Mytilus edulis: one gene and its partners. The protein of the gene in region 1 purifies or fractionates together with the protein of each later gene. This does not show direct contact. Links are inferred from orthologs where the notes say so. Each region holds a gene or a part of one and is shown in the gene's direction. Other genes may lie near its edges.

The links.
Region 2: the proteins of ras-related protein Rab-11A (region 1) and Golgi phosphoprotein 3 homolog sauron-like purify together in Drosophila melanogaster (affinity purification with western blotting; 3 studies listed by BioGRID, with this or other methods). This does not show direct contact. The link is inferred for Mytilus edulis from reciprocal best matches to the Drosophila melanogaster genes Rab11 and sau.
Region 3: the proteins of ras-related protein Rab-11A (region 1) and unconventional myosin-Va-like purify together in Drosophila melanogaster (affinity purification with western blotting; 4 studies listed by BioGRID, with this or other methods). This does not show direct contact. The link is inferred for Mytilus edulis from reciprocal best matches to the Drosophila melanogaster genes Rab11 and didum.
Region 4: the proteins of ras-related protein Rab-11A (region 1) and exocyst complex component 2-like purify together in Drosophila melanogaster (affinity purification with western blotting, with the first as the bait; 3 studies listed by BioGRID). This does not show direct contact. The link is inferred for Mytilus edulis from reciprocal best matches to the Drosophila melanogaster genes Rab11 and Sec5.

The regions. Positions count from the first base shown.
Region 1 is NC_092354.1:552,620-560,949, reverse strand, and holds the start of ras-related protein Rab-11A, read left to right. Parts: upstream 1-4,905; 5' UTR 4,906-5,177; coding exon 5,178-5,217; intron 5,218-7,056; coding exon 7,057-7,168; intron 7,169-8,308; coding exon 8,309-8,330. Other genes in the region: riboflavin kinase-like, read right to left, coding at 1,722-1,843, 2,572-2,674, 3,325-3,476, 4,724-4,808.
Region 2 is NC_092347.1:27,684,034-27,692,042, forward strand, and holds the start of Golgi phosphoprotein 3 homolog sauron-like, read left to right. Parts: upstream 1-4,550; 5' UTR 4,551-4,670; coding exon 4,671-4,859; intron 4,860-8,009. UniProt on the Drosophila melanogaster protein: Phosphatidylinositol-4-phosphate-binding protein that links Golgi membranes to the cytoskeleton and may participate in the tensile force required for vesicle budding from the Golgi.
Region 3 is NC_092354.1:38,486,373-38,494,280, forward strand, and holds the start of unconventional myosin-Va-like, read left to right. Parts: upstream 1-4,853; 5' UTR 4,854-5,049; coding exon 5,050-5,076; intron 5,077-6,656; exon of another isoform or gene 6,657-6,695; coding exon of another isoform or gene 6,696-6,788; intron 6,789-7,593; coding exon 7,594-7,701; intron 7,702-7,908.
Region 4 is NC_092348.1:25,984,678-25,992,863, forward strand, and holds the start of exocyst complex component 2-like, read left to right. Parts: upstream 1-4,670; 5' UTR 4,671-4,777; exon of another isoform or gene 4,778-4,824; intron 4,825-8,033; 5' UTR 8,034-8,063; coding exon 8,064-8,178; intron 8,179-8,186. UniProt on the Drosophila melanogaster protein: Component of the exocyst complex involved in the docking of exocytic vesicles with fusion sites on the plasma membrane.

The DNA.
Region 1 (8,330 bases):
ACACCTCAAAATTGGCTTAATTTGACAAATGAAGTTTATAGGTATATAAACTAAGTCATTCAAATTTAAAACACTTATTGCCATCATGAAACTAAATATTTTGAACACTGTTAAACAATCAAAGTTCAATAACTCTTGAAAAATTAATCTGAAAAGTTTCAAGTTGTAATTATGCCCCACCTACAATAGTAGAGGGGCATTATGTTTTCTGGTCTGTGCGTCCGTTCGTCCGTCCGTCTGTCCGTTCGTTCGTCCGTCTGTTCGTTCGTCCGTCTGTCCCGCTTCAGGTTAAAGTTTTTGGTCAAGGTAGTTTTTGATGAAGTTGAAGTCCAATCGACTTCAAACTTAGTATACATGTTCCCTATGATATGATCTTTTTAATTTTAATGCCAAATTAGAGGGTTTACCCCAATGTCACGGTCCACTGAACATAGAAAATGATAGTGCGAGTGGGGCATTCGTGTACTGGGGACACATTCTTGTTTTTTATATGTTATTGATTTAGGACAAAAGTAATTACAGCAATTGCAATTCATGTACCAAAAATCATGCTTAAAGATATCAAAATGTTAAAAAATTCCATAACTCTAGGACATTCTGAAAATAGTCAAAGTTCAAATTTAAAAGACAGATTGTCTTATAAAAGAAACAAACTTCATTTTTTTTAAATACCAATCAAAGCAAACTTAAGAGATATTATGAAGAAAATAGGCAGTGGTACAGCAAAATATATTATATATGTCTATTACTCTTTTTTGACATCTGTATAATACTCAACCAAAAAAAAACATATATAGAACAAATAAATTTGCATTATTAAACTTAAAATTAGACAGATGTTAACGCCACTCAAACAAAACATTATTTTGTTGTTGGAAATATGTGACATAAAAAATAAAACATAAGTTATATGTTAAGGTGGTACCCAACATCTTCACTAAAATTTATTTGGCTCGTTTATTTTCCTAAAATTTTGACGAAGTATTTACTTTGAACGTTTGACAAAAATATAAAAATTTCAAAAAATTTGAACCAAACAATTTTTAGAAAAATTGCTCTGGTTATATAGAAGTTTGACAAACAATAGTTTTGATAATTGAGTAGCTTAATATTCACAAGGCAACGTAATTAAAACATTTAGCTGACTTTACAGAGTTATCTCCCTGTAGTGTTAGGTACCACCTTAATGCATTAGAACACATAAATACTTGACATTTCATAATTGGTTGAACATCTTACGGATTTATATAAAACTTCACCAGGAATTATTTTCATTATATATGAGCTGCAGCGAATAGATATCAACCCTATGTAAATATCAATACATCTTTTATAAACCTATTTGAGGTTGATAAATCTCCAAGCAAAGTCTGTAGCTGTTTAAAAATTGAGTTGATTGACTGATTGGTTGGTGTTTGCTTTATGCCACATCAGCACAAAAAAGATATGTCAAGGCAAAAAAAATAGTTGATATAAGCACCCTACAACACAGCACAAAATTCATCTTTATTATATATTTGAATGTTATAAATTTGTTCAAAGGCTTATACATGTAAATTTATACATGCACTTGCATAAGGTCAATTTCTTTCCATCGCAGCTCAAATATTTATACCACATTGCCAAATAAATGACGATCAACAAACATTAAACCAGTCTCACTTAAAACAGTCAGTCTGTAAATAAATAAAAAATAATAAAAAATCTAAAGTAATCTAACATTAAACATCCTCCTTGATTTCATCAAATAAAAAGTTATTTTGTTTATATGATGCATTCTCCGGTAAATCTAACTTGTCTTTAGCCTGTTGTATATCATCATTTATGGCATCTATTAATTCATCTGTAAAATAAAAACATTCATTTAGAACAATAAAAACTTGATTCTAAGTCTTAATCGAAAAGTTAAAAAAAATGCATGCTTGGTTTTAACTGTATCTTCTAAAAAATAATGTCCACAAATAATACAGCAAAGTCACAAAAAGTGATGGTAACAGGATTCTTTTTCATAATTTTAGTGTTCAAGTGTAATTATATAAAAATACTTCAAACAAGGGAGATAATTTAATAAGAAAAATAGCAACTATTTTCACACTATGCATTAACTGTAACAAAAAAAAAAACTAACATGTTTATTATATTGAGGTATCATTTAATCAAATATATTTTTTTTTATGTGTAATACAACAGAGATAGTGATGTAAGAGTATAATTCATCTGTGTTTACAAAAATCTTGGATATTTATAAGTCTCCGGTAGGTTTCCCTTGAAAAGTCATTTTATTTCCTATAGCAGTAACATTGTATAATGTTTGATAACATGTAAGGCTAATTACACAAACAGAATTTTTCTTATCAGGAACTCATTTTGATTCTGTTAGAAAGTTGTCTCATTAAACCAGAACTCCTTATTCTTATACATGACCTATAATTGTAAACTTCTACGTCATTTTGTCTTCTTATTTTTATATATTATATGTTTTGAGAGAAGAAATTCATTAACAGACATCACGATTACAAACAATACATTGACAGGTTGCTTTAATCTGCTTTCTTATCAATAAAAACTTACCTAAAGAGGAGAAATCTCTCATTGGTCGTATATATCCAAGCATAATTACTTTTAATGTTGATCCATAAAAATCTTCTTTAAATGTGTGTATAACATGTGTTTCCTGAAAACATAGAACAACATTTAAATGTATTAATAACATATGGGTTTTCTGGATAGAACAACATTTAAATGTATGTATAACATGTGTTTCCTGAAAACATTAGAGAACAACACTTAAATGTATGTATATCATGTGCATGATGTGTTTCCTGAAAACATTAGAGAACAACACTTAAATGTATGTATACCATGTGCATGATGTGTTTCCTGAAAACATTAGAGAACAACACTTAAATGTATGTATACCATGTGTTTCCTGAAAACATTAGAGAACAACACTTAAATGCATGTGATCCTTTTTCAGCTGATTTTAATAGTTTGTTCTGTAATACAGTAACTAATATTGTGCTATAACATAACTCTCTCTCACAGGTGAACATTAAACACTCACAAACATGATCAACCGAACAACATTCCGTATGTGCCTGTTCCAGGAACCTAAAATTAAGTGATTGTCATTTGTTGTCTGATGCTGTATTATTGTTTTTTGTTCATTGTTTTAAAAAGTTTTGTTTTCTTGTTTTAGCTGACTAAGGTGTGTCGATTTTGCTCATTGACGAAGGCTGTACAGTGACCTAAAGTTATTAATTATGTCTTTGGTGGAGACTTATCTTATTGACAATCAGTTTGTCATTTTATTATTATTATTACCATAGATTTCTTTGTATTGTGATAGTAAGGGTTCCATCCAATACTGAGGACCATTTTCAATACTTCACCATTATCCACATTGGCCCAGCCATAGTACACACCACCTGGAAGATCTTTGGGTAAGTTTTCTACTACCTTTTCTGGGAAATTAGCTGAAATGTGAAACAGTACTTTAGTCAGTCTAGAATTACATATAACAGTAGCAAAGACAGAAGATTTTTTATAAATTAATGATTAATTTAATGGTGTTGTTTGGTGATTAATTTAATGGTGTTGTTTGGTGATTACTTTAATGTTGTTTGGTGATTAATTTAATGGTGTTGTTTGGTGATTAATTTAATGGTGTTGTTTGGAGTTTAATTTAATGGTGTTGTTTGGAGATTAATTTAATGGTGTTGGTTGGTGATTAATTTAATGGTGTTGTTTGGAGATTAATTTAATGGTGTTGTTTGGAGATTAATTTAATGGTGTTGTTGTTTGGTGATTAATTTAATGGTGTTGTTTGGTGATTAATTTAATGGTGTTGTTTGGTGATTAATTTAATGGTGTTTGGTGATTAATTTAATGGTGTTGTTTGGTGATAAATTTAATGGTGTTGTTTGGTGATTAATTTAATGGTGTTTGGTGATTAATTTAATGGTGTTGTTTGGATGATGTCTTGTTAACATGTTTTTCTTTTTTTTGGTCATTTCACCAAAACGGATGCAATAACGGTATTTTATTTTTGTCGGTTAGTTTTCGTCTTTATGAGTTTTTGAAAATTGTGAAAGAGAGTTCAATATGTGTATACATAAAGAGGACAAAAGACAGATGACCTATAAACATGATAAATATATATATATATTTGTTAATTTCTATGTCATTTGGTCTCTGATGGAAAATTGTCTCATCAGCAATTTTAAACTCATCTTTTTATTTCTGTAGTTGGCAATATAGAATGCGATAAAACAATGTATGACCAAGGTCTTAAATATAGCAAGGACGTATACGTATAACTAATATATATGTCCTTGTTTATAGGACTACACACTGTCACAGGTTCCCGTAAAATTTTGACCTCCATCATAATCCAAAATATCTGACGTCACAAGGAAAAAGTGAATGTTGTAGGATGTCAATAGTTTAACAGGTACAGATTCTCAGGTCAGCCGGGAATAGCTATTAGGTATATAGCTGCACACCCTGATTCGAAGCAAAAAATGAAGACACTCTCAGAAGATATCATGATTATTGGAAAATTTTGTGACATACATATATTACACAAGCAAGTATTCATGGTATTACACCAGACACAGATAATTTTATGAAGAACCTGGTCACAGCTGACACTCCTGTTTTTTTTATCATTTTTCCCTATAAGTTAGATATAAGTGTGTGTAAAATTAACTGTATTCAATACCAGTGGGTATTCCTAGTTCTTTGCTGCCCCGTCCGAATCCTTTAACAACTTTTCCTTCTGCAAAATGTGGTAGAATTTGCTCCATTTTTATATAACCTTAAAATGTAAGAATCGTCATATGTTCTCGTTAATGAACTTCCGGTAAATTTTTCGTATTTTGAAATTTTCCCCGGCTGTTTTTTGCATTTCCTCTTGCGCGGGTGACGTCATTTGGTTGCGCAGAACAAGGGGCGTCAAAATCGCCATATTGGCTGCTACAGTTGTTGACAGAAATAGGGTCACCTGACAAATCTGTTGGAATCACAAGCATCAGAAGTTGAAAGTATTTAGTTATCAACAGGTCACAAAGTCAACTGGTTCAAGACTTTGAAAATCGACTTAATTGTCTTAATTTGAGGAAGGGGTCAGAAGAATCTTCATCTGAATTCCTGCTTCCGCCAACTTCCGGAAAGAAATGGGTAGTAAAGATGACGAGTACGATTACTTATTTAAAGGTACAGCCCTTCTATTTGTGTGATAAAGTCTTATATTAATTCTCATATTTACAGTTTACATCACCATGAATGACTTGAAGCTTTGTTCCGACCCGATGTGATGTTTTGTTTTGTTGTCATTAGTACAGGAAATGAAATGTCAAAAACTATTTTTGACAGCTTAAACATTTTCTCTGTAGATGTTTATCCGCTCTTTTACTTCAGAGAGTTCCCACGTTTGTCCATTGATTTTACATTTGTAATGTATATGCTTCACATAGACGGTACACCCATTAAAGATTAAAAAAAATGAAGTCGCATTATTGTCAACACTTTGACGCAAGAGTTCAAACTATACACCTTATCGCTATTTGTATGCCATAACTTGGTGTCACAGGTTCTGGTTAAATTTTGTCGTCATCAAACAAAATATCTGTTGCCACAATGGAAAAGTGATGTGGCCGGGTCAGTTCAATGATTTCTCTTGCAACTGTAAAGTAATACCTATGATCATGACGGCATTGACAGGTTTATGGTAGACAAAGCTAAAAAGTGTATTGGCACCAATCTTCATTGTCTACATGTGGTTAGTAAATGGTAAACTGAACTTTTGACTAACTTACTTCCTGTACCAGATGAGTCATTTTGTGTTTTGTAAACAAAGTGACATGGCCAACGATCAGGTCTAAAAATAAAATTAAATATAAAAAATGAATCATAAATGGCTATATATATATATTGATTTAAACAAATTTAACAGTATAAAATATTTAACTTATTGAGTTAGTGTGGTCTTGTCAGCTTTACAAATTCTTGCTCACTAAAATTCAATTTTTGACAAAATGGCTTTGCACAAAAGAGAAAAGGATAAGAAAACAGAATGTCGTTACTGTCAGAGTAAAATAAAAAGCAATGCTTATACTTATTATCTGGATGATGAATTTGATTATATAACAAAAGGTAAGCTAATTATTTCAATGACAAAAATACAAGACCAGGCTCTTTAAAGAAGTTCTTATATATTACCAAGGTTCAAAATTTAATACTGGGTTCACCTATAGCTACCTCAAAAATTTGGGGAAAAGACGGGAACATTTAGAGATTTTTAAATTTGGTATGGTCAGCTTTACATCATAGAACCTTCCAAGAGGTAAAATGTAATTTAAAAAATAAACTACTTTAATTACTTAAAAATATATATCATGTATATAGTCACTACATGAATGACATAAATGTATTATAAGAACCTTGTCAAAAATAAAAAAAATATTTTCACAATTCTGAATTATAATAGCCCGGTCTGATAATTTGAGTCTAATTTGATGGAAAATGAACAAATATATACATGTATATGACTTTTTAGTAGGAGGGAGATTGATATGCATATTAAACAAAATTAAAAGAAACATAAATATTGTTGAACAATAGATTCCTTTTTAAATGTTTTACTTAATCTCTATTTGTATTACTTAATATATAGACAAGTAAGAAGATTGTCTGTTTTCAGGATATTAGGATTAAGAACTATACATACATTGTATATACATGTAGTACAGTTCATTGACTTCAAACAAGTCCTGTTGTTACATTAAACCTTTTTTTAACATACAAAAAAATTTAATAAATTACATACATGTAGCGTGTGTTAGGCTAACTTTTAGAAAAAGCCCAAACCGCATACTCATCTATTAAAGACCCTGAAATGACAATATAAAACAATTCAAACAAGAAAACTAATGGCTTATTTAAGTGCAAAACAATAAACGAAAAACAAATTTGCAACACTATGTCTGCTGTGTGAATAATTAAGAGAGTTTCCTAAATTCTAATTTTATATTAATGTATATTTTTGTATTGCAGTTGTGTTGATTGGTGATTCTGGTGTAGGAAAGAGTAATCTGTTGTCAAGATTCACAAGAAATGAATTTAACTTGGAAAGTAAAAGTACTATTGGTGTGGAATTTGCAACAAGGTAATACCAAGCTTGATTTATATAAAAAAAAAAAAAGGGGGAAACAATTTTAGTACATCAGTAATTCAGTTTTATCCCCCAAAAAAAGGGAATGGGGGAATGTGCCAACCTCTGAAATCTGACTTTCATGTTTTTCTTACCAAATAACAAATTACAGAATTGAAAAGAAGGATATTGACAAAACTATTACAAAACCATGTGAAAGAAGAACGGGTGATACCAAACAGTCAAACTCATAAATCTAAAATAAACTGACATAGCTATGGCTAAAAATGAAAAAGACAAACAGAGAAACAATAGAACACATGACACAACATAGAAAACTTCAGAATAAACAATATGAACCCCACCAAAAACTAGGGGTGATCTCAGGTGCACCTGAAGGGTAAGCAAATCCTGCTCCACATGTAGCACCCTTCGTGTTGCTTATGTGATAACAAATCCGGTAAATAGTCTGAATTCGGTAGGTTACATACATGAAAGGGAAAGGGATTGTAGTTATGACATAAGGAACATATCCGATATCATTTGTGAAAAATTTATTCTATAACGGTCAGCCAACTTGTGATGGCGTCCATAAAATTTACGAAGGGATGATTTCAACTTCACCATTTGGAGCAGCAACCCTCTATCAAGAAAATCATGATAGGAAATGCAAGCACAGGAATATCGTATCAATTGGGAGATATATACCCAGTATGCAGGTGCTGCTGGAATGTTGCTACTTAGAAAAGGAAAGTTCACAATTTGAAAGCTGAAATCATCTCTTTTGTCGTAAAGTTTTGTTATCAACCGACCCTCATTGTCAATTTCTAGATGTAAGTCAAAATATGAGGCCTAAAGTTGAGCCAAAGACAATGTATAAAGTTCCCATTTAGGTCATGTAAAGGGAAAGCAATGAAAATCATGTGCACTGTTATTGTCAGAACATATGGAGATTTGGTATGATCGAAAATGAGACAACTACAAATGTATCCATCTGATCAGAGACGTACATATGTCTTTTAAGAAGTTAAGACTACAGTTAATCATATACTTCAAAACTGTAACAAATATTTTTCAAATGAATTATAAATGTATTAGCAATGACATTGAATAACAATAAACGGGATGTTAACGATATTACTTATAATTATTTAGGAGCATACAGGTTGAAGGTAAA
Region 2 (8,009 bases), on another chromosome or scaffold:
AGCGTGCAATAAATCTTTAAAATTCATGACGTCATCAACGACACAATCTCAGTTTAAACCAATTTTTACTTTCAAATATATATTGCCATACAATAAAACTCAATTATAAAAGGGTTATTGCATGACTATTGGGGAATATTGTCCCTCGTAGAACATATATTGCAAGCTCCAGCAATATAAAATTCTACTCGGGACAATATTCCCCAATATTCATGCAATAACCCTATATTATCAGATATAAATAAGTTATAGACATATTTCGCGAGAATTGCACATATCTACATGTATATATGATCTATCTATACCACATCTGTTCGGATATTGTATTTTCTGCCAGATAACTATGACTTTGAACTTCTGAAACCAGCAAATATCATGAATGGCAATTTAAAATAAATGTTTTAACCACAAAAAGTAGCTTAATTTTTAATTTAAAATATTGAGTATAACCTTTTTACTCAAGAAATTGCAGCAGAGCATGTATTTTGTAAAATTACTAGTACACAAATGTGTGTGCATATGTAGAACTAGTAGTGTATGACTTTTTGGCGACTACATGGTCATTTAAACTCCAGAAAGCAGCACTAGTTTACCAGTTTTTGAAAACCTATAGGTCCATGAAATGTAAAACATATGCTCAATATTGTGTTTTCTTTATAAAAAAATACTTGATTTGCAATCAACACCCAATTTCCAAGATGACAAAGACAAATAAGCATAAGGCAATCGACTCGTTGTTGGTACATGGAACATATAAATGGTTCAATAAACTTGTGCATAATTAAAACAAATGCTGGTCGAAAGTTCAAACGTGAGAACACGCAAAGAAACAAAATACGCAAATAAGAGGCAACAGTAAAATTGAGAATGGAAACGGAGAATGTGTCACAAAGCAAAACGCACAGTAAACCTCGGTTTTTTAGAAGTCGAGTTCGATGTTAGGATATGTAACAGAAGAAACTAGCCAAAGGTATAATAATCAACATTGATTAACAAACGACTACTAGCAGTTTCTGAAATGCCAGCTATATAGACCTCAATTTAACTGATGGAAAGATTATGTCTGAATCATATGAAAATAAAGCACAATCCCTCCCATTAGGTGCTTAGTATCATACCATTATAAGCTATACGAGAAGAACATATATACAACCCGTATTATATTGAAAACTAGTTTTGGAATGAACTGCGTGACAGTGCTTATATTCGATGCAAACAATGTTTTTATTGATGTTTAATTCCCATAAAATCATAACATAAGAAGATACAAATCAAAGGAAACAAACTAAGGGAATTACACGAACTCCAAAATGAGTGAGACAGTATGCATCAGAAAGGTATATTCCTATGTCTTCTGGGTACACACTGAAATTAGAAAGTCTGCTTTATATATTGAATTTCAAGATAAACCACGGCCACACTCTGGTACATTAATCATCAACCAAATACATAGGCTGCACCATTACAAATGATCTATAGATTGGAGTGAACACAAACAAACAGCATGACATGAAAAGGTAGCTGAAGCCTCGGATTCTTACATCAAAACCTCCAAATCAGCTCAAAACCCACCAAAGAGCATGTCTATCCGATAAACCGCAAATACACCAAGACAGTATTGGAAACCGGCAATGCAAACTTAAAGACGAGCTGCACGATAGAAGTTTGAAGTTTATTAGGATATATGATATGAAAAACTATCTGAGTGTAATATGGTTTATTGGGTGACAGCGTATCACCAATATATCTCAGTCAAAAAAAAAAATAGAAAGAACTTTGCATGATGCTTTTTATAGTTTGTCTTTTCAAAAACGTTCATCAGAACACGAAAAACTATTTCAAACTAAAAATTATTACTTAGGTTTACTTAGGTTCTTTTACTTATACAGGGACTAAATTTCCTCTTCATCAGTCTCTTTAACTAAATCTTCTCCACTTCCGGTGACTGTTGCTCTATAGTGGCTTCGTACATCATTGTTTGGTTCATCCAGTATTTGTTTAGTCTATTCTTAAATGTATCTGTGGTTGGTGATGACACTATAATATCGGGTAGTGCATTCCATGTTCTCACCCGGCACTCGTAGAGCAAAGGCATTTCTCATTAATTCTGTTCTGGCTCTCTGTGGAAATATTTTCAGACTGTTGCCCCTTATCCCTGTGCTTGTAGTCATATCCTTCCATGATTTAACAATTTGTGCCGCCTCTCTTTCATAGTTTCCGTTCAGTAGTTTGTGTATTTCAATCCTGTCACCTCGGACCCTTCTATTTTCGAGATGGTAGTTTTAATTTTTGCAGTCTTTCTGAGTATGTTCAGGTAGTTTCATGGTATACCGCCATCTTGGATTGCACTATCGCAGTACACAATCAGTCTAAATATTTGCCCAAATCTGCAAATTTGTATACAAATGTGCAATTTTATTGTTTAAGACTGTTCATTAATATGAAAAAAACTTGCTGGTTTATTGCATTATTTAAATTATTTAAACAAGTATCAAATAGTTGTGTTGGTTTTTAGAATCATTTTTTTTTAACTAAGCTATTTAAGGGGAGATAACACTTTTAGTAAAAAAAAATATACTGGACTGATCGGGAAATTTTTAATTTAGAAAACAAGTTAGCTGATACCATTTTTTTCTTTCTTTTTTTCCTTTAAAAAACATTATAAAACCTATCTTCTCGAAATTTATTTCAAATTCTATATCATAGATTTCTTTTTAGGCACAAAATGTTTTTTTCATGATCATTCTAAGCAAATTTAGGCAATTTTCAAAGACTCATAGCATGAAAAATAAAACGGTGACCCATAATTTTTATTATATTTTTAAAAAGAGCACAGTAAAATCTTTATTTTGGCAAAGTATAATAAAATTCTATCTCAGGAAACATATACCGATGATCTACCTTAAATTCTTTAATCCTGGTAGTTGTTTAGTTGCCCGACGCTGCACATTCTCAATCATGTCATTATATTCTATTTTATATGGATGCCATACTGAGCTTGCATACTCTAAATGTGTTCTTACGGGTGTGTTTAACACCACCAAAAACTGGGGGTGACCTCAGGTGCTTTAGAAGGGTAAGCAAATCATGCTCCACATGTGGCACCCGTGTTGTTGCTCATGTTATCACAAATCCGGTAAATAATCTAATTCGGTAAGTCACATTCATGAAAGGGAAGGGGATTGTAGTTACGACGTAAGGAACATATCCGATATACCATCTGTGAAACGGTTATTCCATAACGGTCAACCAACTCGTGATGACGTCCGTAAAATTTACGAAGCGGGATGATTTCAACTTCACCATTTTGAACTCTTGGTTTAATAGCTTCCTTGTGAGCAGCAACCCCGGTCTATCAAGAAAATCATGATAGGAAAAAGGTATCTGTATCTAGATATTTGAAAGTCCTTATCAGTCCTTCTTATGCTGGTAAAATTAATTTATATTTCAAAATTTGGAAAAAAACCAAAAGAGGCGGATTTTTGTGATTGTTTTTGTTTGGTTATATAGAGAACCACAGGCTGAAGCGCGAAGGGAGTTGGCCCCCTCTTAGGCAGTCAGTGGGCCCCTACTTATGAAAATTTCTGGATCCACCACTGATCTGTATCTAAATGTTGGAAAGTCTCAGTCCATCTTATATGTTGGTAATATGGGGACGAAGTCCCCAATAACAGTAGAAAATTCAATAAAAAAAAAAATTCGGGAAAATTTCCCGAATTTTTCATTGTACTAATGAACTCAAAATCGTTCAATTTTTTTTATGTCATGTTTTGAAATCCCGGACCTGCGCAGAAATGTACAATATACTTCCCTTTTCCGGTCTCGTTTGTATGAAACTTTGAGTAAAATATATATTTATCAGTCTAGTTTAAAATAGGAAGGAACGCGCAATACTTATTTCATTTTTGATAATTCCTTGATATGAAAAAACGTTACCTAATGATAGCGTTTCTTGTTTACATTGCATATGACGTCATAATTTAAATAACGTCACAACTAAAATCCCTAACAACAGAACCAAAATCGGAAACGTTACTGTATTTCCGTGTCTTTTTTTTTTTTTACAAATAATTGAGTTACAAAATAATAATTCATACAGACTTCGTCCCCATTTACAGGTAATGCCTGCCTCATATTATTAATTTAAATTCAAGTTAAAATTTGGCAAAAACAAAGGTCTCTGTATCTAAATATTGGAAATTCCTTCTCAGTCCTTCTTATGTTGGTAATAATAATTCATATTTCAATATTTGAAAACAGAAATTGAATGACAATACTAGTAATTAAAGACATGATAATATACTTGACGTCTGTTTAATAATTTACAAAACTCGCCACATTAAATAATTACCGGAATATAACCGACAATTGATCTAACTTTTAGTATTTTCATAAAAACGTAAAACAGATTTGGATTGTATTAAATATTTTTGTTTTTTTAATTTTCATTAATATATTTTTAAATTAAAATGATAATTTGAACGATAAAAAAATAAATTGGATAACAATTTTTAAATTCAGAATGTTTCTAAAATTGTTTAGAAAATCTCGGATGTTTTGATGTTTACGTCAACGAAGACGGCCATTTTGATGGCCAGACTTTGCAAGTGACTGAGGTTTCTTAGGCTAAACAAACTTATTGGCCTTTTATATGCAGTAAAATAGATACAATGGCTTCTCAGAGAGGTGGAGGCTTAGTCCAACGACGCGGTAATAATGTAAGGACAGATGAACCAAATTCTAGTGAGCAGTCGGAAGATCTTTCTGGATATCCTGATGAAGAAGAGGAACACGACTCAAAAGAAACTCGTTTAACTTTAATGGAAGAAATCTTACTGTTGGGATTGAAAGACAGAGAGGTTATACATTAGAATGAATGTGTTTTAAGAATTGCTATTTCCACATTTGTCGACAGACATAACTTGTTCCCCTATACAGTTATGCCAACTTTTCATGAAGCAAATACGTGAGATTTGGCCAAAATTGAAAAGATTAAAGAGAAAAAACAATAGTTTAAAGAAAAACGCCGCCTTAAAAGCATGAAGTCTCATGCTAAATGCGTGAGACTTGGCACTACTGCCTATATGATGGTCACAGGCACTAGGTTCTATCCATGGGAACACCCACTATCAACGTATATTTACGTTTATAGATGCGTGAGACTTGGCAGCCCTGCCTATATGAGGGTCACAGGCACTTGTTTCTATCAATGTATATTTACGTTTATAGAAGTGGGTCTTCTCATGGATAGAAAAAACTGCCTGTGATGAGGGTTGTAAATGGAGGCAACCTCATGACGAATCACAGTTAAAATTCATTAATGATGTAAATGTCAATATTTTGTGCATAACTATAAGATGTACACTTTCTTTTAGACGATAAAAAAAATTCCAAAAATTACTGTAATGATATTAATGTTTTTGAGACCTCTGCGAATCAAGTAAAATTTTAACCAATTTGACACCAACAGTTGGGTTGCAGAAACTAACCGTTTGACGCATAAACAAAAGGCATGGCATCACTATCCTTCTCCATATGTAGAGCATAAAACCCTAGGTAAAACAAAATATTACACAAGATACTGATTGAAGTTGCATGTCGAAAAAATACACCTTATCGTTATAAGACATCTCAAAAGTTCCTGTAAAATTTCCTTAGGCTTATAATAATAATAATCTTTATTTCAAGAGGGTATGCTCAATTAGTACAAACACTATTCTCCCTTGAGGCCCTCACACTCCACTCACAATGCAATTCACACAATTTCTTCATAACAAAGATAAACATAAGCAAACATAATCAAAATTGATACATAGTCATTTAAATAATTCCTGGATTTTCAAGTAAAAACTTAAAGCAGTTTTTTTTAAAAGTATGTTTGACATGTGTCTTAGTGCTTCTGGTAGTTTATTCCATAAAGTTGGGCCCGAATATGAAAAAGCTCTAGCTTCTAAATGTGTTTGTTCTTGCCTTTGGTATATTAAGTAATTGGGTAGTATTTGATCTAAGTAGCATTCCATTATTATTTGTAACATAGGAGATTTTGTTAGACAAATATTCTGGGACAGATCCATATAAACATCTATGAACATACATGTATAAGGCCTTGTGGTAAGTTAAACGATCAGTAAATCGAAGCCATGATAACTTTTTAAACATTGTATTAGATGGGGTATCATAAGGAAGTTCAAGAATAATTCTAGCTGCTCGTTTTTCAAGTTTATCTAATCTATTTGTATTTTGGTCTGACACTGGTGTTTTCCCAAATTGTACAACAGTAATCCAAAATAGGGAGAATATAACCATTAAAGTATAACTTTCGTGTTTCTAGGGGGAGGGATTTCTTTATCCTAGACAAAAGATTTAGCCTAGTACTGATTTTTGTGCACAAAGTGTCAAGGCTTGTATGCATACTGTACGAAATTAGATATCCTTGAACATGCAAGTTTACCTCAATTCACGAAAATTTGTACTTGCAAAAATAAATGAACGTATAGTATACAATGGTATAATGGTTCTTCTTTAACAAATTTTGACTTGAATGGAGTTGTCTCAATGCGTCATTGGCACTCATACCACATCTTCTAAATTTTATTTCAGTCATGAAGCTGATTCAGCTGTGTTTTCCCAGGTCAACATGACTGTGCCGTCCCGCAGCCCCTTTTAAAATAATTTCATTGATCATGCAGAGCCTTAATTGAAAAAGAAAGATGGCCGCCAAAATGAAAATCAGTATGACACAAAAATATGCAAATATTGATTGACTCCACAGGGCTCACACTACTTCAGAATTATAGGGAGAAGTGACTTCTCTTTTTGAAACTGATAGGGAGAAGTTGTGAGATTTGAAAGAGAAGTGCTCATTCGCGCGGTGCGTTACAATGTTTGGATTTTACAATAGTATAAAGGGCCATATGCAAATAATGTTCTTTTTATATTGTTCGATTCATATCTGAGTAAAAAAAAATACAATTAAAGTAACATTTGAAATTAAAAGTTGTTTAAGTTTTACTAAGGTTCTTGTGACAAACTTATTCCAACTAAATATCTAGCACTAAAAAAAAAAATTATTTTAAAAAATGTTAAGAAATTATAATATATCATTATTACAATTTAATTAAAAATTATCTTGTGTATGAAATTCAGTGTTTCTCATAAAAAAATATAAAAGTTATTAAGCTGGGCCATAATATATTGAAATTAGTATAATAGTCTCAGAGTTAAGCAACTTTAATCAATAGTTTGAAACAATCCATAAAATATATAGGGAATTATATACACCAATCAATTAGATGTAACCAAAAGTCTCTTAATGTGTGTGGAATGCGTAATTTTTCCCTTTGGGATCAATATTCTTCTGTCAGCTGTTCCGTCCGTGCGTCCGTAGTAATTATTGTAAAAGTACGGATTTCGGTCATAGCTGGTCCGGTTCAGATCCGTAGTTTAGAAATCGGTCAATGGCGGATGAATGCAAGAAAATTTACAAAAATAAACAATGTTTGACAAGTTATTTGGAAAGGAACATGACGTTTTTAATGCAATAAATGGATTAAACATTTACTGGAGGCAACTTTTATCACGTTTAAATGAAGTAACAAACTTATTTTGCCGCCGAAATTTAGGTTGATGTACGTTTTCGAGTAACAAGCACCGGAACTTGCGAAAATGCATGAAGTGATAAAAAGTTGTATTTTTATCAAATAACCTACTACACACTGCGAAGACAATGCTTCAATCTCTTTTCTAAAGATAATGAATCGTTTATGTCTGAATTTCTTTAATTATCAATAAAAAATTGATGTTTCATCAACTTGGTAAAAATTGAAAATGTCCGATGACGGAAGCGACTGAAAGCAAGTATCGTCAAGAACAGGGCGACTTGATTTCGCTTTTGGGGGTCGGGGAAAGCGAAGTGAGGGTCGGGAAGGCCAAGTCGCCTGGTAGCGTGAGCCCTGACTCCATCCTTTAACTGTTATTTGACTTATTATGGCTTATCAGATCGTGCAATT
Region 3 (7,908 bases), about 38 Mb from region 1:
TATTTTCGACAACAATTAAAATAATTAATTAAACGATTATTTGTTTATTGTTGGCCACTGGGTTTTATTTTAATGAATTGTGTGATTGTAAATTTCAAGAAATAATTTTTGAAATACTGAATTGAAAGAAAAAATATGTAACGGGGTCTGAGAGATACAATTTTATTTTGTTCCAACAGATGCGCATTAAGTGTTCACATCCCAAAATGACAGGCCTTTGTTAGTTTTTCCTCATTCCGATGTTGCTGTCCTGTGTAAACTGTATTTATAAGATTACAGTATCGGCAATCTATTTTTACAAGCTTCCGGAACCATATTTTCTGTACAGTCCAATTATATTCTAAAGCTGGTTACACTTGGAACATATAGGAAAAGTTGTGTGCCAAAATAACCAAGTTCCAGGACAATTGTATTATTCTTCTTTGTTAATTCCATTCCAAAAATCATTTTCTGCCTTATTTTCAAAGACTGCTTGTACTATGTATTTTCAACAAATTACATCCCGTATTATTTTCCAAAAGAATTTTATTTTTTTCTATTTTGCAAGAACCCTTTTTTTTTGGCAACCAATTTAACACAAAATTTACGAAATTGCACAAATAGTGTCACAAAAATTTCCCATATTTACACAAATTAAAAATAACCTGCGTTTCTATATAGATAAGTCATATAGGAAGATGTGGTGTGAGTGCCAATGATACAACTCTCCATCCAAGTAACAATTTAAAAAGTAAACCGTTTGGATTTACAGCCAGGGGCGTAGAAGCCTGCTGCCGTACCAATAATGTTTGTTGGTACGGCATGCCATACCTATAAGTTTTTATAATTTATTGAAGAAAAAAAAAGTTTTTCACGGGATTAAAGAAAACAAGGTTTTTACGGGAAAAAACAAAGACAGAAAATCCCATTTATAAGCTTAAGTCATAGGCAATATAAACGGTATATACATTTATTAATACTGGTTCAATAGAAATAAAGGAGTGTGGTAGACTAGTAGCCAATTATTGAGACGAGTTGAACTCTTAATCCAGGTTTCATAATGTGTTAAAAGTAAACAATTACTTTAATTCAAATTGAGTACGGCATTCATCAAGCTAAAAAAGAAAGTGGGCACCGAAATGAAAAAAATAAATTATCGAATCTTTTGTAAATACATTTTTTATGTCTAGATGATGCAACCTTAGCCTACCAATTACGCTATTTTAGTGTAGCTAAACTTTATGTGAACTTTTTTAAAACTAATTACGATTTATTTTAGAAATGATGGTGAATTTGGGATGTCCCTGTCAGAATCGCCTGAAAATGTTCTATTTTCCTTTGTTTATACTTTGTCACAAACATTGTCAGTATTCACCTCAAAAGCTACTTATTAAGAAGGGTTAGTTACGATACTGTTGTCAGTTCACTAAAGATTGCTTATTTTGGCTTTAATATTGATTCACTTGGACAGGGTTCTTTCTTCTCATATATTTTATGATGGTATACTACTAAACACCTAACGGTAGGGATTGTGCTTGATATTCATATGATGAAGACGATATCCTTTATTAGTTTAATACAGGTCCCGAGCTCGCATGTCAGTACGTAACTGCTAGAAGTCTGTGTTAATTTATGTATCATTGTCAATTTGTTTAGTTTCTTTGTGACCTATTCTGACATCGGACTCGGACTTTTCTTCAACTGAGTTTTACTGTGCGTAGTGTTGTGTGTTTGTTTTTTCTACATTGACTAGAGGTATAGGGGGATATTGAGATCTCAAAAACATGTTTAACTAGCCACAATTTTGCGCCTGTCTCAAGTCGGGAGCCTCTGGCCTTTGTTAGTCTTGTATGACTTTTAGTTTTACTCTTTTTCTTGGGAGATATTGAGGTCCCCTTAATAAAATCATCATAAGGACCTCATCATAAGGGCCATAACTTATATATAACATAAACTTCTACAATTGACCATCAGGGTTTCCCCTGACTCAATTATTTTTTTCGCCACCTCTTTCGCCAAAACAAAATATTTTTCGCCACTTTATTATTTTTTTCGCCAAATAACATAACTATATTTTTCGTTTAAAATTTACATTTTTTTCTACACCCCCCCCCCCCTCCCCTTTCCCTTAAATAAGATGATTTTGCCCATTGTGTCTATGATTTTTAATTTAAAAGGGAAAACTATTCATTGTATTTTAAACAACTTTTCTAATTGATTGGGCCACTATACTTTTAATAATAAAGAAGATATACGTCCTGGAATATAACAAAATGAATGGACATGTTTTGATTATATAATACCAGTATAGTTCGAAGGGAAAGTTTCTTTAAAAGAAAAATACTGATGTGTCCTTTTGTACTAAGAAGGTTTTTTTACAACAAAACAAAAGCTTTTATCACATGAAATTGATCCCTCGTTTCATGTGTAGGCATTACATTGAAGGGCTACTCTCATTCGAGCCAACCTTTTGGATAGATTTCTTCATAACGACAGTTTTCTTTTCTTGACCATCGTAAATAAAAAAATGTTGAGACGTAAAACTAGGCTTGAAACACGTGTGTCACTCAAACGACTTTAAAAACGTCTTCCTTATCAGTTACCGATATTTAAGTCAAAGGATAATTAAAGTTTTAAATCCGAGATTTTCCTTGCTTTTGGACATTTTTCGTCACAACAACAGCTTTCTTTTCTAAACTCTCTTTAAAAGCGGAGGAGACGTCAAAAGTTTGCTTTAAACACGTGCGTCGCAAAGTGGTAAATAAATTCTGTATGTGACATTTAGCAGAAGCCATTTAACCATATCATTTTGTCAAACAATTCAATCAACACCTTTATTAATATAGTCCTTGTTGTCGATAGCTATAAAATGCAATCAGCTGATTATTGATTTTCTGTCCAAACCTTAATGAGGTCAAGGTGAATTCCGAGTATTGTCTGATCGGGTAAAGTCCGAGAAACTCGAAAAAAGTAAATAAACAAGATGGAGGAAAATAAATCGTTCTATATATTTCTTTCGCCAAATTCTTTCGCGAATGACGAATTTTTATCGCCACAATTATTATTTTTTCGCAAATTGCGAAAATGGCGACCGCCAGCGGAAACCCTGTTGACCATATGTCTTTGACGAAAGATGTGTACAGAAGTCATCACTAGAAACCTCTCAATACATGTCAATAAGAAATTCTAGCTTTGGATCCATCCAATCACTTTATAATTAGAAATTTAATGGAGTAGAATACGGCATCAAAAATGTTTAACCCTTACTCTTTATTTATATACAAGCCGCACGTCAAGAACTATTAAATTAGTGCAGTTTACACTGATTTTATGTTTTTGAGGGGAAAAAGAGGTCCTAAAAAAAATTGCCCCTCTACGCTCGGCAACGAAATCTATTATACGTACCACCATGAAAAATCCCCTGTATGCCAAGACACATTGAATGGCATCCAACACAAAATTGGAAGTATAAATTTAAGCCAAGATATTCCACTTGCTGTATCCATTTGGATTGTTGACTTTTTGACACATTTCATGTTTCATTTTTTTTCTTTTTCTATATTTTGAATTTGACTTTCAAAAAAGTGAGATAACTCAAATTGTTGTTCAAAAAATGATAAGCGAAATTTAAGTGTCAGAATGCCGGATTTTGCACCATTTATCCCAAAATCAGTCTCTGGCCCTTTAGGGGCCACCAACCCCTGCCGAATATACGCCTCACTAAGGCAGGATGAGTCGCCTCGCGACCCATAACATTTCTTGTCGTACCAATATTAATTTGAGTGCTAGTCGCCTCTGATTTTTATACTTTAAAATTAATCGGGGAAACGGCGCGTATCAGAGTTAAGCTGGAGGCACACATTCACGATTTTTACTGCCGTCCTTAACAGGACTATTTCCAATTAAAACTTGTCAAATATTGAAAATATGGGAGGTTGCATTGGAATGTCCCTCCTAGATGGGAATTTGCATGGGTCTGATCACGTTGCAGGCATATTGCATCCTGTTTGTCTATTAATGTAACTCTTTTAAGTGCATCTACTCCTGAACAACTAGATGGATATAGAACATGTAGAAGAAATATTTACATGAGAAAGTTCGAAATGTCAGAAACATATAAATATTAAATTTAGTATACATGTCTCTGGAAATGTTAAAGGGGAGATACTCGTTACTTTTATAGTATGGCATTACTAATCTTCTGAGCGAAACTCTTCCTGAATGTTTTATGGATATTAATGAAATGTATGTCGGAAAAAGTAAGGGAGAGAGAAAAGGGAGGGAGACGGGAGAAGGAGGGAGGGAGAAAGGAGAAGGAGGGCTGGAGAAGGGAGAAGAGGGGCGGGAGCAGGGAGAAACCTATCCCCCTGTCCACCTCCTCTAATTAATCAAACAATTTTTCCCCAAAAAAGGGATACAGTGACACCATAGAGTCCCCCTTTTAATCTGCCCCACGTTCACATTCCATGATGACCAAGCCGTTTGTAAACATGATGTGACCATGTTGTAGACTTCATTCCAGTTTGATAAATCATAAATGTATTGCCGTTTATAGTCATGTTATATACTGACGTTTTTACCGCCTTCTCGTCACTGAGTATACAACTCCTTTTAAATATTTTTTCAATATTACGCCCCCCCCCCCTTCCCCCTTTCACCCTTAAGTATCACTGAATTGGCTTTAATATATGCCTCCCCCCCCCCCAACCCCCAACCCCAAATACCAACAAACGAAATACTTATCGAGTTGAAATATCAGTAAGCAACGAGAAATCTATTTTTAGCAAGTTTATTCACGACAACTTAATCAACGTAATTGCCCGAAGAAACACGAGAGTTTCTTTATCATCTAAGCGTTTGATCGTTACCTGGTCAATGTAGATATTGTCACAGGTAAAACAAGTTTGTACATAATCAAGATATCTTGATAATATTCGGTGGGTGGAATAGGAGGTCATCTTTTAAAAGACAATATAACACCATCAAAACAAATGGATTAGACAAATAACTTGGAATATGTAAACCCCTGAAGAATAACCTTTTGACTCAAAAGAAGTTCTAGTCAGAAAAATGACGGCAAATGAACTTTATGTGAAGGTAAATACGCCCATTAAAACAGGATATATACTACTGTTGTGTTTATATATAACCGTCTGACAGATTGTGGACAAAAATATTATTGAAACTACTTGGGATTTGATTTTAAAGAATCTGGTCACTAAACCATTCGATAAATAATAAAAATTCTTAGAAACGTTTATTCTGTTGAAGCTTGACAGTAACACATGTAAGGATGTATATATACACAAACACAAATAAATTTGAATCAGAATGTCATATTTTTGCATAAAAACTCAAACAAGCCTATGATACATGTACAATATTCCTTATCAATATATGAGGGTATGAATGCTATTTACCATTAGGCCTGAATCAATAATTTTTTGTTACGAATGAAGATGGGGGATAGGACCTTTATCGAGACTCCGAGATCAGGTGTTTTTAGATATCATGACTGACCCTTTCCTACTCCCCCTAATGTAAAAATGGTAAAAATTGGTAATGATTCATCAGAGGTCTTAAAAATAATTATATGTAACAGTATTTTTTTGGAAAGAATTTCATGACATCAAAATTGTTCGATTTTTTTTTTATTCTTAAAGAAAATGTGTATATTTTATTGTCAAGTTTTAACATCATTTTGCAAGATTTTTTGGCGTTATTCGTGATGAAAGTTGACCGAACACAACCGTCATATATATCTTGCTTTTGAGTGACTTCTGCACATCAAAGATTACTGTGCTTAGCTACGTGTATAGTTGAGGTCAGGTCATAGACAGGCCTCATGTAACTACATGTAATATTATCCTACATTTGAACCTCTAGGATGCTAGGGCAGAGACCAACCTTTTTCTGTCTTCTGAATAAAGTCATCATTTAATCAGGATTAAATTTTTTATTTACGCCATATATGCGCTTTCATCTACAAAAAACTTATTGAGTCATCGATGAGTTTTTTGTAGATGAAAGCGCATATGGCGTAAATAAAAAAATTGTAAACCATTTGGCAGCTGCCAAGGTGTTAAAAACAATCAATTTCATCATCTAATTAATGCATACAATTAACCTACAAAATGTACGTGTAAGGTTGTGACAACATTGCTGTGATAACAGCCTACCACAACACCCATAACTAGTGTTTTAATTTGTAGCATCCACTATATACTACCCATAGATAGAAATATCATGTCATGTCCAATTCTCTCATAATTTTTTTCTGGAATAGGCCTTATTATTATATATATAGTTAAAAAGATTGAAAGAAATATTTCCCCACACAGAAATAAAATTACCCGTAGTAATCAAATCCATGAAAGATGAAGCTATAAGGTCATGAAGGTATCTGAACAATTAATTAAACCCCCTTCAAAATTTAATTGTTCCAAAAATAAACTCAATCAGAAATCTATTGCAGATTTCCACTTACACAAATAAACAAAAGCTATTGAATCCTGAGTCTGCTGCTGTTAACATTAGTATCTAGTGCATCACACATAAATAAACAAATCCTACTGAATTTTGTATTTGCTGCTGTTAACAGAAGTATCTGGTACATCATGACTAATAAACAAAATTACAAATTTGACATTTTGGATAATTATTTAACGATTATTTAAATACTGGGCTATTATTAAATATAGTTGTGTGTATTAACTATGAATCGGCTAAAGAATTGTGACAGTATTTACCGGAGATTTAATTTTCAAAGTTTTCTGCAAGATTCTGATGTCCAGGAGCTGTTTACAAAGGTCTGTAACATTGGGGACTTTGGGGTCTACTGTCTTTCAAACTTGGGAACACAGGGAATGATTATATTATTAAGAATTTTACATCTTTTAGAGGATAGTTTGAAATATCTGTTGATCCATTTTTTTTCACAAGGAAATGCGTGTACCAAGTCAGGAATTATTGAGGAATATTTAACAGTTGTTTTCCATTCATTTGATGTCATGGATGTGTTTGGGATTTTGATTAAGCATTTTAAAATGGACTATTTTGTTTTTGAATTTCCCTTTTTTTGAAGTACAGTATTTTTGTTATTATTACTTTTAACACTAAAACTGATTGTGATATTTAATGAAAGTGATATATTGAAAAAGGATACTGTGGACAGTTGTGGATTAGCATTACTACCTACCATGGCAACAGCTCATGTGGATTTTTTTAATATCAAACTGTCCACCATGGGAAAGGACACAAAAGAGGGCACAAACTCTACAAAATATCATTTATTTTTTCCTTTATATTGTCAACTTTTTTCTTTTATCAAGATGCTGTATTGAACGGATTCGATGGTAACGTACATGTACTGTCGGATAGTATAAATGCTTTCACCACTGTCCCAGGTTAGGGCGAGGGTAAGGAACCAGCTAATACCGGTATGTTTAATCCCGCAACATTCTATATATGCTTGTCCTAAGTCTGGAGCCTGTAATTGAAAAGTTGTTGATAGTTGCTGTTGAATACGTAAACATGTGTGTGTTTTGTTATATACATTGTATTAAAAAACAACATTTAAATCTTTTAATGTTTATATTTGTTGTTTTTTTTCAGGGTGCCAGGATATGGATTGCCGACCCAGAAGCTATTTGGCGAGGAGCTGAACTATTGGAAGATTACAAAGGACCAGGACAGATTAAAGTTCGGTATGAAGATGGCGAGGTGAGATAAGTTTAGATATTGTTATGTTAGGCGTTTTTGATTTAATTTACTATTCAATCATGCATGGTTATCGTGAGTATAAACATAATCTTGGACAAGTAAAGAGGGGGACAGGACCTTTTTTCAGACTTCGGGCTCAGGTGTTTTTAAGCTCTGGATTTTGGTATTCAGGAATTCTTTTTTCGAATTTCGAGATGTCGTAATTTA
Region 4 (8,186 bases), on another chromosome or scaffold:
ATCCCAGAAATTTTTTGAATGATATTGTAAATGATATGAACCTTCGAATTCTTATAACATCGGAATAGAAAATATATGATCCGAATTAACCATGCACGTGTGCTACAGAAGATTATGAACTTTTATGAGGTTTTTCTTAAACAATATTATGATCCCAAATTTGATGAATTTTGTTGGCAATACTTTAATATACACACTACATATAGCAAAGTATATATTAAATCTCAATGTATTATAATTAGGAAAAATGTTTGACTCGGTAAAAAAAAATCTTCCCCCTCCCCCCGTATTGCATGTAATGGTTTAAACCTAAAGGATTCGCACTAACTGCCTAAAAGGGGTCCGCTCCAGTCTTGAATCAGTGATTTTGTTTATCATAAACAAAATATTGTCTCACACTGAAAGGGTCAGCCGGGCAACTTGCACAGCCCGGATTGTCAAAACAACTAAGATTTACAAAAACGATTACAAACAAAAACCATCAGTTGGACAATCTTACTGGAATCTGATTATCTCTACTGATAAATAATGCAACACTAATGACACATTTAAGTTTTGGAATGATTTTATTCACAAAGAATGTTTCTCATTGGTATACATTTCTATGCTCTAGTCTTTTCAGTGTTTATATTGGAAATTAAAAATTGCTGCATGAAAGACACTACATATAGCTCCACATTCCTATGCATATGATTTTATATGTACGAGAATCATTCCATAAAATATCCGTTTGATATCCTTTCAATGCATGACACTGTCTAGTGGTTTTTCTGCCACAATTACAAGGAAAACCTGGCTAAACTTGTGCTAAATCAAACACTTGAATCTTACATCGCTATTGATGTTAAGCAATTATTTAAAGGCCATCCGGAACTGTTGGGTTTTATGACAGTCTTCCTTCCATACACACCATCGCTGCAAAATAATTTGAACATTCAATTAGATGATTATAATATTATTTGGCAATCCAAAGAGAACCTGAAAACATCAGACCACAATAAACAGAGACCCCAAAAAAAAAAAGCCAATTTTACTTTACAATGAAATTGAAAAAGTAGTTAGTTACATGTCAAATCATCTTTTGGCTGTCGACAAAAAATAAATAAAATCTAAATTTCGTAGCATTTTACCCCCCCCCCCTTTTTTTTAACTGAATTTGTTCAAGGTATTAGATGAATTTCTAGCAAGTTTCTACGATATTCTTTATCATTTGACAAAATACTATGCATCTGAATTAAATTGTTTACTATTTGAAAAAGTGCGCCTTCTTCTACTTTAATTTACTTCCCTTTATTTCACATAGCAACAAATATTAAAAACTGCCACATTTGACTGCATATCAATTTTTTTTCCCAAAAAAAATATATGTCAAGCAGCATAATTAACTTTACAAATTGGGAGAAAATCAAGATGTTCCGACTATAGGTTAGTATTAAAAAAAAATAATGAAAGGTTGGCATGATTCCATGTTTGAACCCTGACGACACTTAAAATCGAAAATTCACTTATTTACCTATCATATGAAGATACGATGATGTGATAAACTTAACAATTAATAATTTACCTGGTGCATTATCATATTCACATTACGTTGACACGTCTCAGTTCGTCTGTGTTAGCTCCAAGCTCGTAAACAATGTACACCATTTTCCGCTGTTCTTTACCGATTACCTCTAGTCAGAAGAGCCCACTGTTTACAGGGGCGATAATATTTTGTCACCGGTTCACGCACTGGGTTGAAGGAAGGTGAAATCAGGTAATCTATAGTGTATGAAGACTTATTTTCTAAATTCTCTTCGTTCAAACGAACATAAATTATTTATGTTCTAGACTATATAATTTCTATATATCTCGGCCCAGTCTTTTTCTTATCTCATTCATATATAAATAACTAAAACACTAGTTTTAGAACTTGTCAGGCACGATGACCATTCTCTTTTATCTAATACCAAATCATTACAATACATGTTTATCAAATGAACAACAAATTACAAATGTTTGTAATTTTGCAAATACAGTCCACATCACAGAATATATATACGTCCTCTGTTTAAATAAACTTAAAAAGGTTATCTCAACAATCTACAAAAAACAAACAAAATTTGTTACAAAAAGTACATTTAATACTGTTTTCGAATCTATATGTGCTTAAGTTTAACTAACAAAAACTACGTGTGTACATGCGAATGGTCAACGCCCTTATCGATAATTTCAATTCGAGTCCACCGTATTTAAATACACTCGGGTTCATAAAACCTGTTACAATTCTATTGTTATATTAATAGAATTATCATACGATAAAATTCTTCCGCCACGTACATACATATATTGATTTAATAAAACCCTTATGTAATCTGTTGTAAAATATTACAGCATTATTATATACTCTAGCATTGTACCTATATATGTTTTATTACAGGGGTACCTGAGGTCACTCAATCCCTAAAAAACGAATATAACCAATTTTACTCAAATTAACTTAAAAAAATTACATAAACAACATGAACTATGCAATGTTCATCATGTCCATGAAGTCCTACATTTAAAATGAAGAAATTAGTTTATTACAGCGTAATTTTATACCCTAGCATTGTATCTCTTATTCTTTCATTACAGGTGGTACCTTAGTTCACCCAAAAAATAAAACCCGAATATAACCCATTTAACTCAAAATTAACTCAGTTCACCTTAAAAATTACATTACACAAACGTTACAATACAACATCTATGAAGTCTTATATTTTTAAATGAAGAAATTAATAATTATATACCCTAGCATTGTATCTATTACTATTTCATTACGTGGATACCTGAGATAACCCCCCCCCCCCCCCCACCCACCCCAAAAAAAAACACCTAAGAAATGTAACCAATCTAACTCTAGTTATCTTATCAAATATATGACATACGCTATGCATTGTCCACGACGTCCTACATTCAGAATGAAGAAATTAGTTTATTGCAGCATAATAATATATCATAGCATAGTATTTACTATTCTTTGATTACAGGGGTTACCTGAGCCCCCCCCCAAAAAAAAAACAAACCACAAAATACAACCAATTCGTCTCCAATGAAAAGCAAAATTATATCCGGGTGAAATTTGATCCTGAGGAAAAAATGTCACAGTAGTTGTTGTTATTTTTTTATCCGGAGGAAAATATTTCCCTGGGATATTTTTCCTTTGCCGTTAAATTCTATCTGGGTAGTTAACTTATTGAATAGTTATTAGAAAAAACTTACCCTTTACAAATACCATGAAATAATAAAATGATTTGAATTAAACCTATATTGTAAAAAAAAATGTATTATAATGGGAATTCTTTCACAAATTATCATTGAAAAAAATTCCTGAAAAAATTCAAGTAAATATCGTTCTTTTAAAAAGAAAATTATCATTAAACATAAGAAAGAAAACCAGAAATAATTTCGTAATTGTGAAATAATATCATGATTAAATAAGATAAGTGAAATACATGTAAAAGTGAGTTGTTTTCAGATCTCAGTACAAATATAAATTGAAAAGTAAAGGTAGAAATATAGTTGCAATTCTACTGTTAACAGTAATGGAAGAATTTGATTATGATAATATTATTAACTATAAAAACAGTTTTATCTGGGAACAAAGATGTTGTTGTTGATTATATGGAAATCAGATGAATCATAGCATAACAATATATTGGAACAAAAGCAATTTTAAAAGCTAGATAGTATTTACCTGTGAAATGTTATCTGTCTTATTAAAAATTCATGTTGTAAGTCATCTTTTGATATAACTGAATATATAAAAAATAAGATTCAAGGAAAAATTTCACTATGAAATAGATTCAGGAATATATTATATTAATATCTTTAAAATATAAATTGCTCATAATTACCTCCCTTTGATAAATTATGAAAATTTGTTCTACCTTTGTGAAACATTTTATAATTTAAGTCAGGTATATATTAATTGCGATTAACTTGCATACTAGTTAATGGGACTATATTTCACAAGGTTCTGTGAAATATGATACGGCAAATATATACGGGTACATACTATCCGCATAACACAGATAGATTTTCACTCCTCTGGAAAAATCTACCTGTGAAATACCATGCCTGGAAAAAAATTACTATGACAAATTATCCTCAGGATAAAATATCACAGAGGAAGAAATAAACCGTTACACAAACACATAACATAAACAATACAACGTCTATGACGTGCTACATTGAAGATGAAGAAATTATTTTCAAAATTACATCATCATTATATTATCAACAATATATCTATTTTTTGTTGGTATTAAGTCACATTACAATGTGGTATTGAGATTAATCAATAAAGGGAACTATATTTTCGTGCGAAATAATCGATGACCAATTCCCCCGGTTACCTAAGGGCACAGTTACTTCAGGGCATATATCAGTGGACCTTTCTTCCACCTACACATGGTATATTGCCGGCACTCGGTCATGATAATTTCAAATAAAAAAATCGATTTTTAAGGTTTTAAATTTTATAACAAACAAACAACTGGAACTGCACACCTGAAACCTGTGCACATGAATAAAACTGAAAATTGGGCACCAGTTGGTAGACGTTGCAGTACATGTTACTGTGAACCTTTTTATAGTAATTTGATATTTCTTTGATGATTCGCTGCAATAACAATCTATCCGGAGATAGACCACTGAGTTATCTCCACTTGCTTTTTGACAGTGGGGGGAAGTGGATATCAGTAAACAATTTCCCCTGTAAAACAGTAATAACGGTGCAGTAATAATAAGTCTAGTAAGATCAGTCAAATATCAGAATTGTTTATCAGGATCCGCACATTAGTTAGCAAAAACTGTTACGAGTATTCTATAATTTATCTCAAAATACAGGCTATTTTAGGGATACAAAAATGTAAACAGTTGAACTGTTAAGGTTCATGTGGACCCTATGACTAAAATGGCCGTATTTTCACCTCAAAATTTACTCTGAATACAGACAAACCTGCGCATCTGTAAAAAAAATTCCAGGCATATCATGCCCTAGATAAATAAATTTCAAATATGTTTTATGTTTTAGAAAAATAAAAACTTACCAGGATTTTGCCGTTCACTTTTTTTCATTCCTCCAGAAGTTGCCAAAAAAAACTAAGTTGGTAAACAGGTTTGAGAACTTCCCCACAGGTAATAATTGGCCGTTTCAGAATCTAAAGAATCATGGGTAATTTCATTGCTCGTACCCCAAAATGAAAATAACGTCACGTCATTGGTTGAATTTCCATTGTTTATGACATATATATATTTAACCAATCACGACGTTTTGGTGTACACTTTTGGAAATATTACTTAGGATGCATTAGATTCTGAAACGGCGAATTGAAGTGAGCTGTATTGCTTGACATGGACATGAGATGGACAATAGATACCTAAAAATAATTGGTCATTTAAACTGTGTACCTGAGTGGACCATATCAAGATAAACTCAACTGTTTGTTAATTTTATCATCTGCAGGGACGAAAAAAAGTGTACGGCAAAATCCAGTTAAGTTATAAATTTTCTAATTCATACAATGCATTTGAATTCTATTTATCTAGGGCATGCACATTGTATGCCTTAAAACTTTTTCGGATGCACAGGTTTGCCTGTACTCCGAGTAAATTTTGAGGTGAAAATACAGCCATATTAGCCATAGGGTCCACATGAACCTTAAATGTATGTATATACTCGTGTATTGTATTTTCGACCTACTAACATATTTTTCTGAATTTCCCTTTTATATGTTTGAACATACACATGCCTAATATTTTGAGAGTCACCAGTACACTTGTATCTAAAATACACAATGAAATACATTTCGATCTTTAATTTATTTTTTATTTGAATTCATCGGATCGATGGCACCTTTGTTGGCAAAAACAAGCATCTTGTGTTTTCGACCTATCTAAGAAACAGGTCTAAAGTCGGAAATGACATGTCGTACAAATCCGAAATTGATAGAGGTGATCAAACTTATGACTAAATGAATAGAATGGTTACATATACATGTACAACTATAAGATATAAAATATTATTTTGATATTTTTTTATACCCCCGCTTTAAAAAAGGGGGGGTATACTGTTTTACCTCTGTCTGTCAGTCCGTCCATCCATCAGTCCGTCCGTCCGTCCATCAGTCCGTCCGTCCGTCAGTCAGTCCGTCCCATGAAACTTTCGTCACATTTTTCTCAGGAACTACACATCCACCCTTTCTGTAATTTGCTATCAACATTTATATATGTCAGCCATACCGTGTGATGCATTTTCAGATTCATCACTTGACAACTTCCTGTTTACCGAACACTTGTCTGATTTTACACATGATAGCCAAGTTGAAAATTTTCGTCACATTTTTCTCAGGAGCTACAATACAAGGATTTCTGAAATTTGGTTTCAGGATTTTTATAAGTCAGCTATACCGTGTGATGCGTTTTCAGATTCATCACTCGACAACTTCCTGTTTACCGAACACTTGCATATTTTTACACTATTAATATTATCCACTTGCGGCGGGGGTATCATCAGTGAGCAGTAGCTCGCAGTTTCACTTGTTTGGACAAGTTGTACACATTTTAAAAGGAGACACATTGGAAGCCTTGTATGGTCTTGTATATATTATTCATGTTTTTGTTAAATACTTTCGTTAAATTTAAGTTAGTGCATTGTGAAGTGAGGTTGGTGAGTATTGTCTGTAATTTCCCATGACAGACTGATTTTTCTGTAAATAAAAATTAACTGATATTTTATTTTTTCGGTAAAAATCAGTAAGGAGCATGCATTTCTGTATGCAAATTACCTGTAAGTACATTATATTACAACTAACCATAGGACAGTCATGTGACTTAATGACCTTGAAGTTAACTTTGCATGCAAAAATACCTCTGCCATATTTTTTAGAAAATTTGTTTATTTTAGATCGTTTCTTTGGGAAGGTAAAACTAGTATAGTTGAAGCGTACGAAAATGTGATATCAAATAAAAAATCATGAATATTTAATTTTTATAACTTTATTTGGAAAATCTTTACCACACTTGGTATCATTTGCTATTGTTACTAAGTATAGCAGCCGAATATGACGTCACACAGGCATGCGCGGCATACAGGAAGTGAAAGTAAAATTAGGTTGAAAACGTAAGACGGTCGAAAACACAATACATATACTTCATAATTCAAGATCTAAGTAATATTTACTCGTATAAGTAAAGGAGGAGGGCAGCAAGGATCTCCATGACCTCTTTTATGATGGGGCACCGAAATCTTCCAATACACTTTCGCACCCTACACGTTCGTGTCCTAGTACATTCACTGACCCCTAGACGGTCGCACCCAATTTTTGAGTTCCAGCTGAATAATAAGAATTTTTTTTATATATACATGTATGTATTATTTACCATGTTTACCAAAACAAAAAATATTTTCCTAAATAATAATTGGTGACTTACTACATGATTTTTTTTTTTATTAATTTGTTTGTTAATTAATTATCAAATTTTAGGTATCAATGTATGATAACAGCAAATTGGTATTTGCACACAGCTAAATTTGGTATTATCTTTTGTGTGTTTGATAACCATGATGGATTGTTGTTTTAACTTGCTTTGATGTAAATGATTATGTGATTTATGCAACACCAAAAAGTTGCCAGAATGTCACTTTATTTTGAACCAATGAAAAATTATATATTTGTAGCAAAATATACGGTACCTCGAATGACCAAAATAACACTGTTAATATCCGAATAACCCTTGTAATGACCGACTTTTAAACATTAATTATTAAACAATAGTATATTATCCATGTATTTTATAACTTATATATATGATTTACAGAAAGCAGATTGTATAAGTTCATTGTTGTAGTCTACTCCCTCTTTATTATTTTTTATTATTATTAATTTACAAGGATTTTCACATCACAGTAAAACTTCTTACTCTTAATTACATGATTTACTAGCTTACTCTTAAAGAAATCATTATATACATGTACATGAACATTTTATATGAATACTATATTACAGAAAACTACTGAAGTATAAGACTAGAGTAGTATGGGAAGATCTGGACCACCATTAGTCACTGGGGTAGCACCGAAAGAAGGACCACCTGGAACCAGAATAACCATTCGGGGAGAAAATCTAGGCTATGACCCAAAGGATTTAATTGGTTTGTAC